2 linked regions of the Arabidopsis thaliana genome follow. The protein of the gene in region 1 interacts with the protein of each later gene in a pairwise test. Each region holds a gene or a part of one and is shown in the gene's direction. Other genes may lie near its edges.

What was found. Proteins that work in one complex are often made in the same cells at the same time.
Region 2: the proteins of AT2G07738 (region 1) and AT1G07400 interact in a two-hybrid assay, tested with the Arabidopsis thaliana proteins (one large-scale study listed by BioGRID).

Annotation. Positions count from the first base shown.
Region 1 is NC_003071.7:3,490,704-3,496,027, reverse strand, and holds AT2G07738 (uncharacterized protein), read left to right. Parts: upstream 1-3,241; 5' UTR 3,242-3,327; coding exon 3,328-3,594; 3' UTR 3,595-3,689; downstream 3,690-5,324. Other genes in the region: AT2G07739 (Ycf1 protein), read left to right, coding at 1-517; AT2G07795 (uncharacterized protein), read right to left, coding at 2,407-2,736.
Region 2 is NC_003070.9:2,271,426-2,277,053, forward strand, and holds AT1G07400 (HSP20-like chaperones superfamily protein), read left to right. Parts: upstream 1-3,500; 5' UTR 3,501-3,722; coding exon 3,723-4,196; 3' UTR 4,197-4,358; downstream 4,359-5,628. Other genes in the region: RLP1 (receptor like protein 1), read left to right, coding at 96-170, 250-311, 383-454, 597-609, 698-766, 1,026-3,229; RABA2b (RAB GTPase homolog A2B), read left to right, coding at 4,845-5,009, 5,250-5,628. UniProt on the Arabidopsis thaliana protein: Cytosolic mediator for sorting and targeting of nascent chloroplast outer envelope membrane (OEM) proteins to the chloroplast. Functions as an AKR2A cofactor to facilitate the targeting of OEP7 to chloroplasts.

The DNA of each region.
Region 1 (5,324 bases):
TTATGGATTTCTGACCACATTCTCCATAGGGCCCTTTTATCTCTTCCTTCTCCGAGCTCGGGTTATGGACGAAGGAGAAGAAGGAACCGAGAAGAAAGTATCAGCAACAACAGGTTTTATTGCGGGACAGCTCATGATGTTCATATCGATCTATTATGCGCCTCTGCATTTAGCATTGGGTAGACCTCATACAATAACTGTCCTAGCTCTACCGTATCTTTTGTTTCATTTCTTCTTCTGGAACAATCACAAACACTTTTTTGATTATGGATCTACTACCAGAAATGAAATGCGTAATCTTCGCATTCAATGTGTATTCCCGAATAATCTAATTTTTAAATTATTCAACCATTTAATTTTACCAAGTTCAATGTTAGCCAGATTAGTAAACATTTATATGTTTCGATGCAACAACAAGATGTTATTTGTAACAAGTAGTTTTGTTGTTTGTGTCCGTATGTTACTAGTTGAGTGGGCTTTCCCTTTGTTCCAGTTATTTCTGGTCATGAAGGTGTAGGCCAAGGACGGAGTCGAACCGTCATTACAGGATTTGCAGTCCGATACATTTCCATTATGTTACCTAGCCAAACCCGCCACCTCATGTGCCAAAGTAAAACGGTTGTTCTTTCTTCCCTCTTTTTTATACATATGCTGGGGCGGGCGGAGCGCTCTATATGACCGGCGGCGGGTTACCAGAGAGGAGGGGACAACTTCTTTCTCCCTTGCCTTGCTCAATTTTCGTTTTATGATTGAAAGTAGCAAGCAACTCTACTACTAGTACAGAGGCCAGATAGAAGGTTGCTCATCCAGCCCAGCGGATCTATTGTTTATGCAGCAGTGCGATGCGGCTGAAAAACATAAGCCCCATTTTCTTAGTAAGATGAGTAAGGTATAGGTTTGGGAAAACTCCAAAACAAAGGTTCCAAAAAAAAAGACATTAATCAAGGTGACAGGATTCGAACCTATGGCCCTCTGTACCCAAAACAGATGCGCTGACCAGACTGCGCTACACCTCGCGTCTCACTGTAATTGCTTTTTTTTTTTCATCTGCCTCCTGCACTATACGGCTTTTTGCCTTCTTCCTTCTTTCACTTGAATTTTAAAAATCCGGCTCGCTCTCGGCTACGTGTCCAAAGGACCAAAAGGCCATTCTTCATATACCTCAGCTCCGAGAATAGAAGTGGTTGTGGATTCGAACCACTGACACAAGGATTTACAGTCCTTTGCTCTAACCAGCTGAGCTGAACCACTTTTCCAAAAGTCTCTTCTTTTCTTCATCGAAGAGCGCCCTACCTTACCACTTGACTAGTAAGGGAAAAGCCCTTTACTAATCTAATTAATAGGGAAAACTTCTTCGTCAAGCTTTAGAGCAGCTCTTTCAATTGACGACTAATCTCCCAACATGCTCAAGAACCGAGAGCCGCCCAGGGACTGGACGGCCATAGGGAGCTTACTTATGAAGATAGGCCGGTCAAACAAAAAAACGCGCAACGGGCTCCCCGCTCCTAGTCACTAAGTAGTGCTCTTCTCATTTCGCCCGCCCGTTTCACTTCCGCGCCGGAGGAAATGGGATTCGAACCCATGATACAATCTTCTTGTATGTCGATTTAGCAAACCAATGCCTTAAGCCACTCAGCCATCCCTCCAAGTTGTTGATCGGAATTTTTTAAAGAGTCAAGTCTTACTTATTTAAGCTGGAATTAAAATCTTCTTCTCTTATGATATTTTATAGAGTTTCGTTTCTTTTATCTATCTCCCCATTCGAACGAGAGAATTGAGTTGATAGCTTCAGTAGTGGTTGCTTGATGGTGTGTAGTGGGATGACCTCGTAGCGATCATATTAGTATGTATATGAGCAGGACTTTAAAGATCTGATATCTTTCAAGAAAGTTGGACCATTTATCACATCAAGGTAACTACGATAGGCAAAAGAAGACTCTTAGGTCGTTGATTCAAATTCTACCTATATTTGCATTCACTTAATGGTCAAACGTACAATGGAATTGACTCTAACATCCGATCCGGCCGGAGGAAAGACTTACTACTACAAGGGCTTGTGCCAACCAACAAGAAGGGGGACGGAGCAAAGACATCTCTTGGCCAGAACCGGACATTGCCCTTTACCATCTCACCACTAGGAGACTGGGACTCGAGGCGTGGTTAAGTATTCCCTTCCGCTCTGGAAGTAAATTTATTTCCTATCTTTCGGTTCCAAATCTTTTTTTCTTATAAAGAGTGTATTGTATGGTCCAGTTGGTGTGGAGAGATGGGTCACTCTTGCGCATCTCGCGCTGTGGTGATTGGTAGAGGAGCCGAGCGTACGCAAGAATCAAGTGCCTCAGGGCTTCCACTAGGCAATCGGACCACTACATCGAATGAAATAAACTGGTTTCACGCTGCCTGAGGTCAAGTCTTCCCCGCTATTCTAACTCTAAATCCCGGTCGCACCCTTCGCACAACAAATCCACTTTGAGGCGTCGGCTGAACCTTCGATCCTTTAGGAAATGACCAGCAACAGGAGGATGAGATGCCGAGGAATTTTGGTGCTAATCCCACAGGACCAATCCCGTTGTTTGGGCCAGCCGAGAAGACAGACAGCGCACTCAGGACTAGGCCCGTATCCAGAACGAATAGAAGGAGGATAATTGCCATTTTTATGCTAACAGGCTGCTCAACTTTTGGAATGAGAACCAAAAGAGACCGATTAATCTCCGCGTACTGTCTCGGATCACTCATGGGAACGGGAGTGGGTGGTCCCTAGGAACGGCGGAAAGGAAGTACTGGTTCAACCAGATACGAGTGACGGAACCGGGGTTGATCAAAGACATGCGCCGAGTGCCAGGAATGACTATAAGCCGATAGAGTCGTTGTGGCATGCCATGAACCGAGATACAATTTGACTAGTGCCAGGTACAAGAAAGAGTTGATTGCCCGAAAGAGGGCAGCGCCTCGCCTCAAAACCTGTGTGGTAGCATTACCCCGGTGCAAGTGTCTCCTCTTTGGTTGCGGGCCTTAGCTGGATCTGAATCAGTGGGCGGAATCGAAGTGTAAATAGGAGTGCTCTACTCCGAATCAGGTGGCCTTGGGAGCTCTTTAGTTAGGTAACACAAGGCTCTTCAAGACCTTGTTTGTGGGTTCCATTCCTAAAAAGATTAGGTCCGTGATGGTAGTGGTGGATCGCTTTTCTAAGTATGCTGTGTTCATAGCAGCGCAACATGCATGCACCGTCCATGATGCTGCGGAGTTGTTCCTTAAGCATGTGGTCAAAATCTTTGGCTTGCCCAGGGATATTGTGAGTGATCGGTCTGGCTCTGAACCTACGTGCCTATGACTTCGTTTCCCAGGAAATCCGTACAGCGGAAGATCCTGAATTTGAGACTTTCTACACCAAAAATCTTCTTTGGGCTATCATTCCACCAAACCCTAGTAAAGGAATCTTTAGGTTTTGGTGCCACATCTGTCAGATTGGAGCCATCCTGCATCCAAGACTTTGATCATCTAGCTGAGGAAATTGGTAAATCTTATATAGGCTCTCGGGTGCCTTCAAAAGGAAGTTCCTCCACTAAATCGGAATCTGACTCACAAGTCGAATAGTCCTCAGCATGGAGAAAAGCGGGGCACATTGGACAATACACCATAACTTGCTTCTTCACTCGAGTTGCTCCTCACGTACGCATGTTCTAATAGTCGAGTTGCTGTTGCTAAAGCACCTATGGTTCCATCCCTGGTAACTTCAACCGCTGCCTAAGATCCTTAGAAAAAGAGTGTCGATAAGCGGCATGCTTTTAATCGATCTAAGAACTGTGTTCGGCTTCTGAGTCCAAATCCCAACTAAGGCTAAACAAGAATTAATCGCTTATGAAAGAGATGAAATTGCAGAATCCGTTGATCGATCCATCAGGGGCTTTACCCTGGCACTTCCCACTTACTCCTAGCAGCCTTTCTTTCTTGCCATTGAGGACGAAGATGGCTATTTATTAGAACAAAGACCTGAAGTTTACTTCTATTAAAGATCTGAGCCTTACGAGACTTCATAAAGATACTGCCTATCCTGTGCTTACCTTGGTCTGTGCTGCTTCGCCGGAGCTGCTAATGAGATCAAGCAGTGTGCTGGTTGTCAGATTTCACTTAACCTATATTCATAATTCATATTGGCGCAAAGCCGTAGATGATGTCAATCAAATCTTGCTTGGTGTTCCTCAACTCTCAGAATCAAACCATCTCCATATACTGGTAGCCAGGAGGAGAGGATGAAAAGAATTTTATTTTGAACGTCTATCTGAAAGACCACGGGCGGAACAGCCAATGGCAACGGGAGCTATCAATAACAGACTCCTGCTTCTAGCCTTGAGCAAGCAAACAGCATAGAACTTTATATCTATCTAGACTACCATTGTCAGCTTGAGAGACCAGAAGCTACCACCTCTCCTGATCAATTGACTTACTATCGCACCTCTGTCTGTGCTGCATCACATCTTTCAACCCGAGCAAGCCTTCTTAGGGTTGGGACTCTCTAAAGTCCTGGGGTTCCGGGAATCCATTAAGCTCAGAACTTTCATTCAGATCTCTAAAGATGGACCTCCCTTATACTCTGAAAAGACTTTCGAAAGCATAACCCTACTACTCTGTGCTGGGCAAACTTCCAATCTATAAGATTAGCGAAACAAACATAAAAGGGCTCTTTCGCTCTTGTGGATGCTTCCTAATCTTAGTCCCCTGTCAGTCAGGGCTATCCACCTCGAATTATCCTGGTGGACCTGATAGTCTCGTAACAAACTAACTTATTTGAGCACACCGCCTTCGCGGATGGAAGAACTCAAGCATCTCTTTTGCGTAGATGGAAGATCAGGCTCCTCCAATGTCTCTATATAAGATACGTTGGGAAGTAGTACGCACTAACCAAGAGAAGGAGACAGGATAAACGGGAGACTTCGCTGCCCTCAACCCTACTACGAGGATATAGGGGATAGCACAGAAGGATACTATCTATCTCCGTTGGGATTTGGGAATAGATGTATGCTGTTAACCACTCGAATGCAGCACACGCCGAAGTATTAGTAGGTATGCTCCTTGTATGACCGATCCGTAAATTAATGGCCGTTTCTAGTGTTTCGCCCAAGTGAGAGGAGGAATAAAGAATAATTGGATGAAGCAGCAAGGATGACACGGATCAACAAAAGGCGATGAAAGTGGACGAGTAATCCTGATTCTACGATCTTCCTTTGTGCGCCTACACACAATAAAGTTGTCTTGGGAAAAAGATGACTGATCGACTCAATGAATCGCCTAACCTCTGAGAAGGTTGGTAATACCAGCTTTTTGTT
Region 2 (5,628 bases), on another chromosome or scaffold:
ATAAAACTGTTCTTGCAGAAGTGACTTATGGCTTAAAGAAGGCAATCAAATGTATTCTGGGTTTTTCTCCTAAGAATGTTTATTTTGCCTGGCAGTACTGAAAGATCTTAAAATGTTGCAAGAACTGGATCTCAGTGACAATGGGTTCACAAATTTAGATCATGGCCGAGGTAAGACATATATAGAAAGTAAAACTTGCTTGCTCTATCCTAACTGGTTTAATCTATCTACTTTAACTTTTTTTCATAGACGTTGATGAGAGTAGAAGTGAGAAGAGATTTGATTTTAGAGAAGTTGTTCAGAAAGTCGAGGTCAGAAATTAAAAGTTCAGCAAGCAACTATGAAGCCTAGTTTTCCTGGGTATCTTCTATAGCTATTGTAGACCCTCTGGATAGGATTGCGTCTAAGTTTCCAGATGAGCATAACACACCACAAGTCAGTTACTGTGGGAGGGGTTAAAGAGACTAGAATCAGATTATGATAAAATAATTCTGGATATTGTTTGGTTTGGTGTAGGTTTTTGTGGTCAATAATTGAGAATAATTTCGTTGAATCAATGTCTCATTGGTGTGTTACATTTGGGTTGGTGAATATAGAACGGTTTCCTGGGTTGCTTAACAGTCACTTACATGCTTATTAGAAGTGGAGCATGCAAATCTTTATCTATTTATGTATCCTTATGTTCTTTCAACTGCAGGTTTAGAGATTCCTACATCTTTACAAGTATTGGATTTCAAAAGAAATCAATTGTCTTTGACCCACGAAGGTGAATATTACAATAATTTTATCTTTCTTATCTTATGCATTTTTTGGTCTAAACAGAAGAGTCACACTTTGGTCACCCTCCTAACTGAATTTATACATAGATAGATTGTGAGAACAGAAGAACTTAATGAGTTACATGGCTATGAAGTCTAATTAGTTCATATGATGATGGAGTTGGTGAATATCTTGTTATTACTCTCTTTTAAAGATGAAGTTGATGATTATTCTGATTTCTTACACTCTTATTTGATTAATTTCAGGCTATTTAGGGATTTGCAGACTAATGAAACTCAGGGAGCTGGATTTGAGCAGCAATGCTTTAACAAGTCTACCTTATTGTTTGGGTAACTTAACGCATCTTCGAACTCTTGATCTATCGAACAACCAATTGAATGGAAACCTGTCTTCCTTTGTGTCTGGTCTACCATCAGTGCTTGAGTACTTGTCGCTGCTTGATAATAACTTCGACGGTTCGTTCTTGTTCAACTCACTGGTCAATCAAACAAGACTCACAGTATTCAAATTGTCATCAAAAGTTGGTGTGATCCAAGTTCAGACTGAGAGTTCATGGGCTCCATTGTTTCAATTGAAGATGTTATATTTATCGAATTGCAGTCTTGGCAGCACAATGCTCGGCTTTCTCGTGCATCAGCGTGACTTGTGCTTCGTTGATCTCTCTCATAACAAGTTGACAGGAACATTCCCGACTTGGCTTGTGAAGAATAACACAAGGCTGCAGACTATTTTACTAAGTGGGAACTCATTGACAAAGCTTCAACTACCTATTCTTGTTCATGGCTTGCAAGTTCTCGATATCTCGAGTAATATGATATATGATTCGATTCAAGAGGACATAGGGATGGTGTTTCCAAACCTGAGGTTTATGAACTTTTCTTCAAATCATTTTCAAGGAACTATACCATCTTCGATTGGGGAGATGAAAAGCCTACAAGTCTTGGACATGTCTTCTAATGGTCTATATGGGCAGCTACCTATTATGTTTTTAAGTGGTTGCTACTCGCTAAGGGTTCTGAAGCTCTCCAACAATCAATTACAGGGGAAAATATTTTCGAAGCATGCAAATCTTACTGGTTTAGTTGGGCTTTTTCTTGATGGCAACAATTTTACTGGGAGTCTTGAAGAGGGTTTATTGAAGTCAAAGAATCTTACTCTTTTAGACATATCAGATAATAGGTTTTCGGGCATGCTTCCACTTTGGATTGGTAGGATATCAAGGCTTTCCTACCTATACATGAGTGGTAATCAGCTAAAAGGTCCTTTCCCTTTTCTACGACAGAGTCCTTGGGTTGAGGTTATGGACATCTCACACAATAGCTTCTCTGGTTCGATACCAAGGAATGTGAATTTTCCATCTCTCAGAGAACTAAGACTACAAAACAATGAGTTTACGGGTTTAGTTCCGGGAAATTTATTCAAGGCTGCGGGATTAGAAGTGCTTGATTTGCGGAACAACAATTTTTCTGGAAAGATACTGAACACTATTGACCAGACATCTAAGTTACGTATTCTTCTTCTACGGAATAACAGCTTTCAAACTTATATCCCTGGGAAAATATGTCAGCTAAGTGAAGTTGGTCTGTTAGACTTGTCTCACAATCAATTCAGAGGCCCCATACCATCATGTTTCAGTAAAATGTCTTTTGGTGCAGAGCAGAATGACCGTACCATGTCACTTGTTGCAGATTTTGACTTCTCATACATTACATTCTTGCCACATTGTCAATATGGATCACATCTTAACTTGGATGATGGTGTCAGGAATGGTTATCAACCAAAACCAGCAACCGTAGTGGATTTTTTAACGAAAAGCAGATATGAGGCGTATCAAGGTGATATTCTCCGCTATATGCATGGTCTGGATTTGTCGAGCAACGAACTATCGGGTGAAATTCCAATCGAGATTGGAGATCTTCAGAATATCAGGTCCCTGAATTTGTCAAGTAACCGCCTCACAGGCTCCATACCAGATAGCATTTCAAAGCTGAAGGGCTTAGAGAGTCTTGATCTATCCAACAATAAGCTAGATGGAAGTATCCCTCCTGCGCTAGCCGATCTCAACAGTTTAGGATACTTGAATATCTCATATAACAATTTATCAGGTGAAATCCCTTTCAAAGGCCATCTTGTTACCTTTGACGAGAGGAGTTACATAGGCAACGCTCATCTCTGTGGACTTCCTACAAATAAAAATTGCATCTCCCAGAGAGTCCCTGAGCCACCAAGTGTGTCAACGCATGCCAAAGAGGAAGAAAATGAAGAAGAAGGTAATGTGATAGACATGGTGTGGTTTTACTGGACTTGTGCTGCAGTCTACATATCTACATCCTTGGCATTGTTTGCTTTCCTCTACATAGACTCACGATGGTCCCGAGAATGGTTTTATCGTGTAGATCTATGCGTTCATCATATTCTACAGTTCAAGCGTTCCTCAGTCTGCAACTGATTCTGTGGATTAGCCAAGGTATACACCACTGGAATAACACAGTCTTAAAATGCTTTCTTAGTTGATCCAAGTTAGATGAGAAAAAGCTTTTGTATACAAAATATATGTCTTCGATGTCAAATATATACATGATACCAGTTTCAATTTCTAAACATTATCTCATAATATTTGGGCCTCAGGAGCCCATTATAGCCCATAAAACGCATAACGGCTGAATAGAGTCGTACTGTACTTGAAATTGAAAGGCATCTACTAGTAGACTCTAGAGTTTTCTGGATTCTGTTTTCCAATCTTTTCATCGTTTTCGTGTGAAGTTTAAAGAAGTTTGGGACCCGTAAATTCTAGAAGCTCTGGAGATTTCTTGTTCACCACTATAAATACATCATCCGAGTCACCAGCTTTGCTCAGAAGTAGAAATCGAACTCGCCGGAAAATCGTAATTAGCTATCTCAGCATTCCAAACATCTCTTTCGCTTTCGAAATCAAATCGAGAATGTCGCTTATTCCAAGCTTCTTCGGCAACAACAGGCGAAGCAACAGCATCTTCGACCCGTTCTCACTCGACGTTTGGGATCCATTCAAGGAACTGCAATTCCCGTCGTCGCTCTCCGGAGAAACATCGGCGATAACGAACGCACGTGTGGACTGGAAAGAGACGGCGGAGGCGCACGTGTTCAAGGCCGATCTGCCGGGGATGAAGAAAGAGGAGGTTAAAGTGGAGATAGAGGACGACAGTGTGCTCAAGATCAGTGGAGAGAGACACGTGGAGAAAGAGGAGAAGCAGGACACGTGGCATCGTGTGGAGAGGTCGAGCGGGCAATTCTCGAGGAAGTTTAAGCTGCCGGAGAATGTGAAGATGGATCAAGTCAAGGCTTCCATGGAGAACGGAGTTCTGACTGTGACGGTGCCTAAAGTGGAAGAGGCTAAGAAGAAGGCTCAAGTTAAGTCTATTGATATCTCTGGCTAAAGCCAATTAGCTTATGGGTTTCATGTTTATGCGTAAAGACTCTTCTGATTATGGCTCTTGATTTGAATATGGCTCTGTGTTTTGGTAATGATGTATTATAACTGTTAATCCTAATAATTAAGCAAGGCCTTTATATTCTCGTTTCAATTGCTTTTTCTGAAGATTTTAGCCGTAAATTCGATTTTAACTCGGATGGGACCAACTAAACTTAAGTTTAAAGGTTGAATTTTTAATTTAGATATGCAATTTGCATAATCTGATCTTAGTTTTGGTATGACTGATTTGTAACAAAGTCTTATAACAAAAAGTTGAAATTTAATGAAATTATTTCTTCCGTGGTAAACAAAAAAAAAAGAATCTCAAAATTCGAAACTAAATAAAAGGGAGTTTCCGTTTTCACCTCTTGGGCACAAAACCCGCAACGTATAAGGAAAGGAAACAGAGAAATACAGAAACAAAATATATAAAAAAAACATTTGTTCCATTCTCGATCCTTCCGGCTTGCTCAAAAGGTAAAATTCGATTTTCTAGGGTTTCGATTTGCTGCTTTTTGATCTCATTGACGATGATTAGTTGTAGTTTCTTCGATCGATGTTGACGTGAATGTGTATATGCGTAGGTTGATCAGACGCTAGGATTTGAGAAGCAATGGCGAATAGAATAGATCATGAGTACGATTACTTGTTCAAGATCGTCCTGATCGGCGATTCCGGTGTTGGTAAATCCAACATTCTCTCTCGATTCACCAGAAACGAGTTCTGTCTCGAATCCAAATCCACCATTGGCGTCGAATTCGCCACCCGGACTTTACAGGTCATCTCTCTTCTCTCGCTTTCTCTAAATCTAGACAATTTCCCTCCAGATCAATTTGGTGTTTAATCTTAGATTGTGTCGTCGCATTTGCATCCTCTGATATTTGAACAGGCATGTGATTGTTAGATCTGAAGATCTTATGTTATGAAAATGAATTCTCGTTAGGGGTTTATTTTAATGTAATTGTAGCAAATGAAATGGCTCGTCTTTGTTCATGCTTGTATGTGTAATCTTGACTAGGTTGAAGGCAAAACAGTGAAGGCTCAGATTTGGGACACTGCAGGTCAAGAGCGTTATCGAGCAATCACAAGTGCTTACTACAGAGGAGCTGTTGGAGCTCTTCTTGTCTACGACATAACCAAGAGACAAACTTTTGAGAATGTCTTGAGATGGTTACGTGAGCTAAGGGATCATGCTGATTCCAACATTGTTATCATGATGGCTGGAAACAAATCAGACCTGAATCACTTGAGATCTGTTGCTGATGAAGATGGTCGCTCTCTCGCCGAGAAGGAAGGTTTGTCGTTTCTCGAGACATCTGCTTTAGAAGCGACTAACATCGAGAAAGCGTTTCAGACCATTTTGTCTGAGATTTATCATATCATAAGCAAGAAAGCTT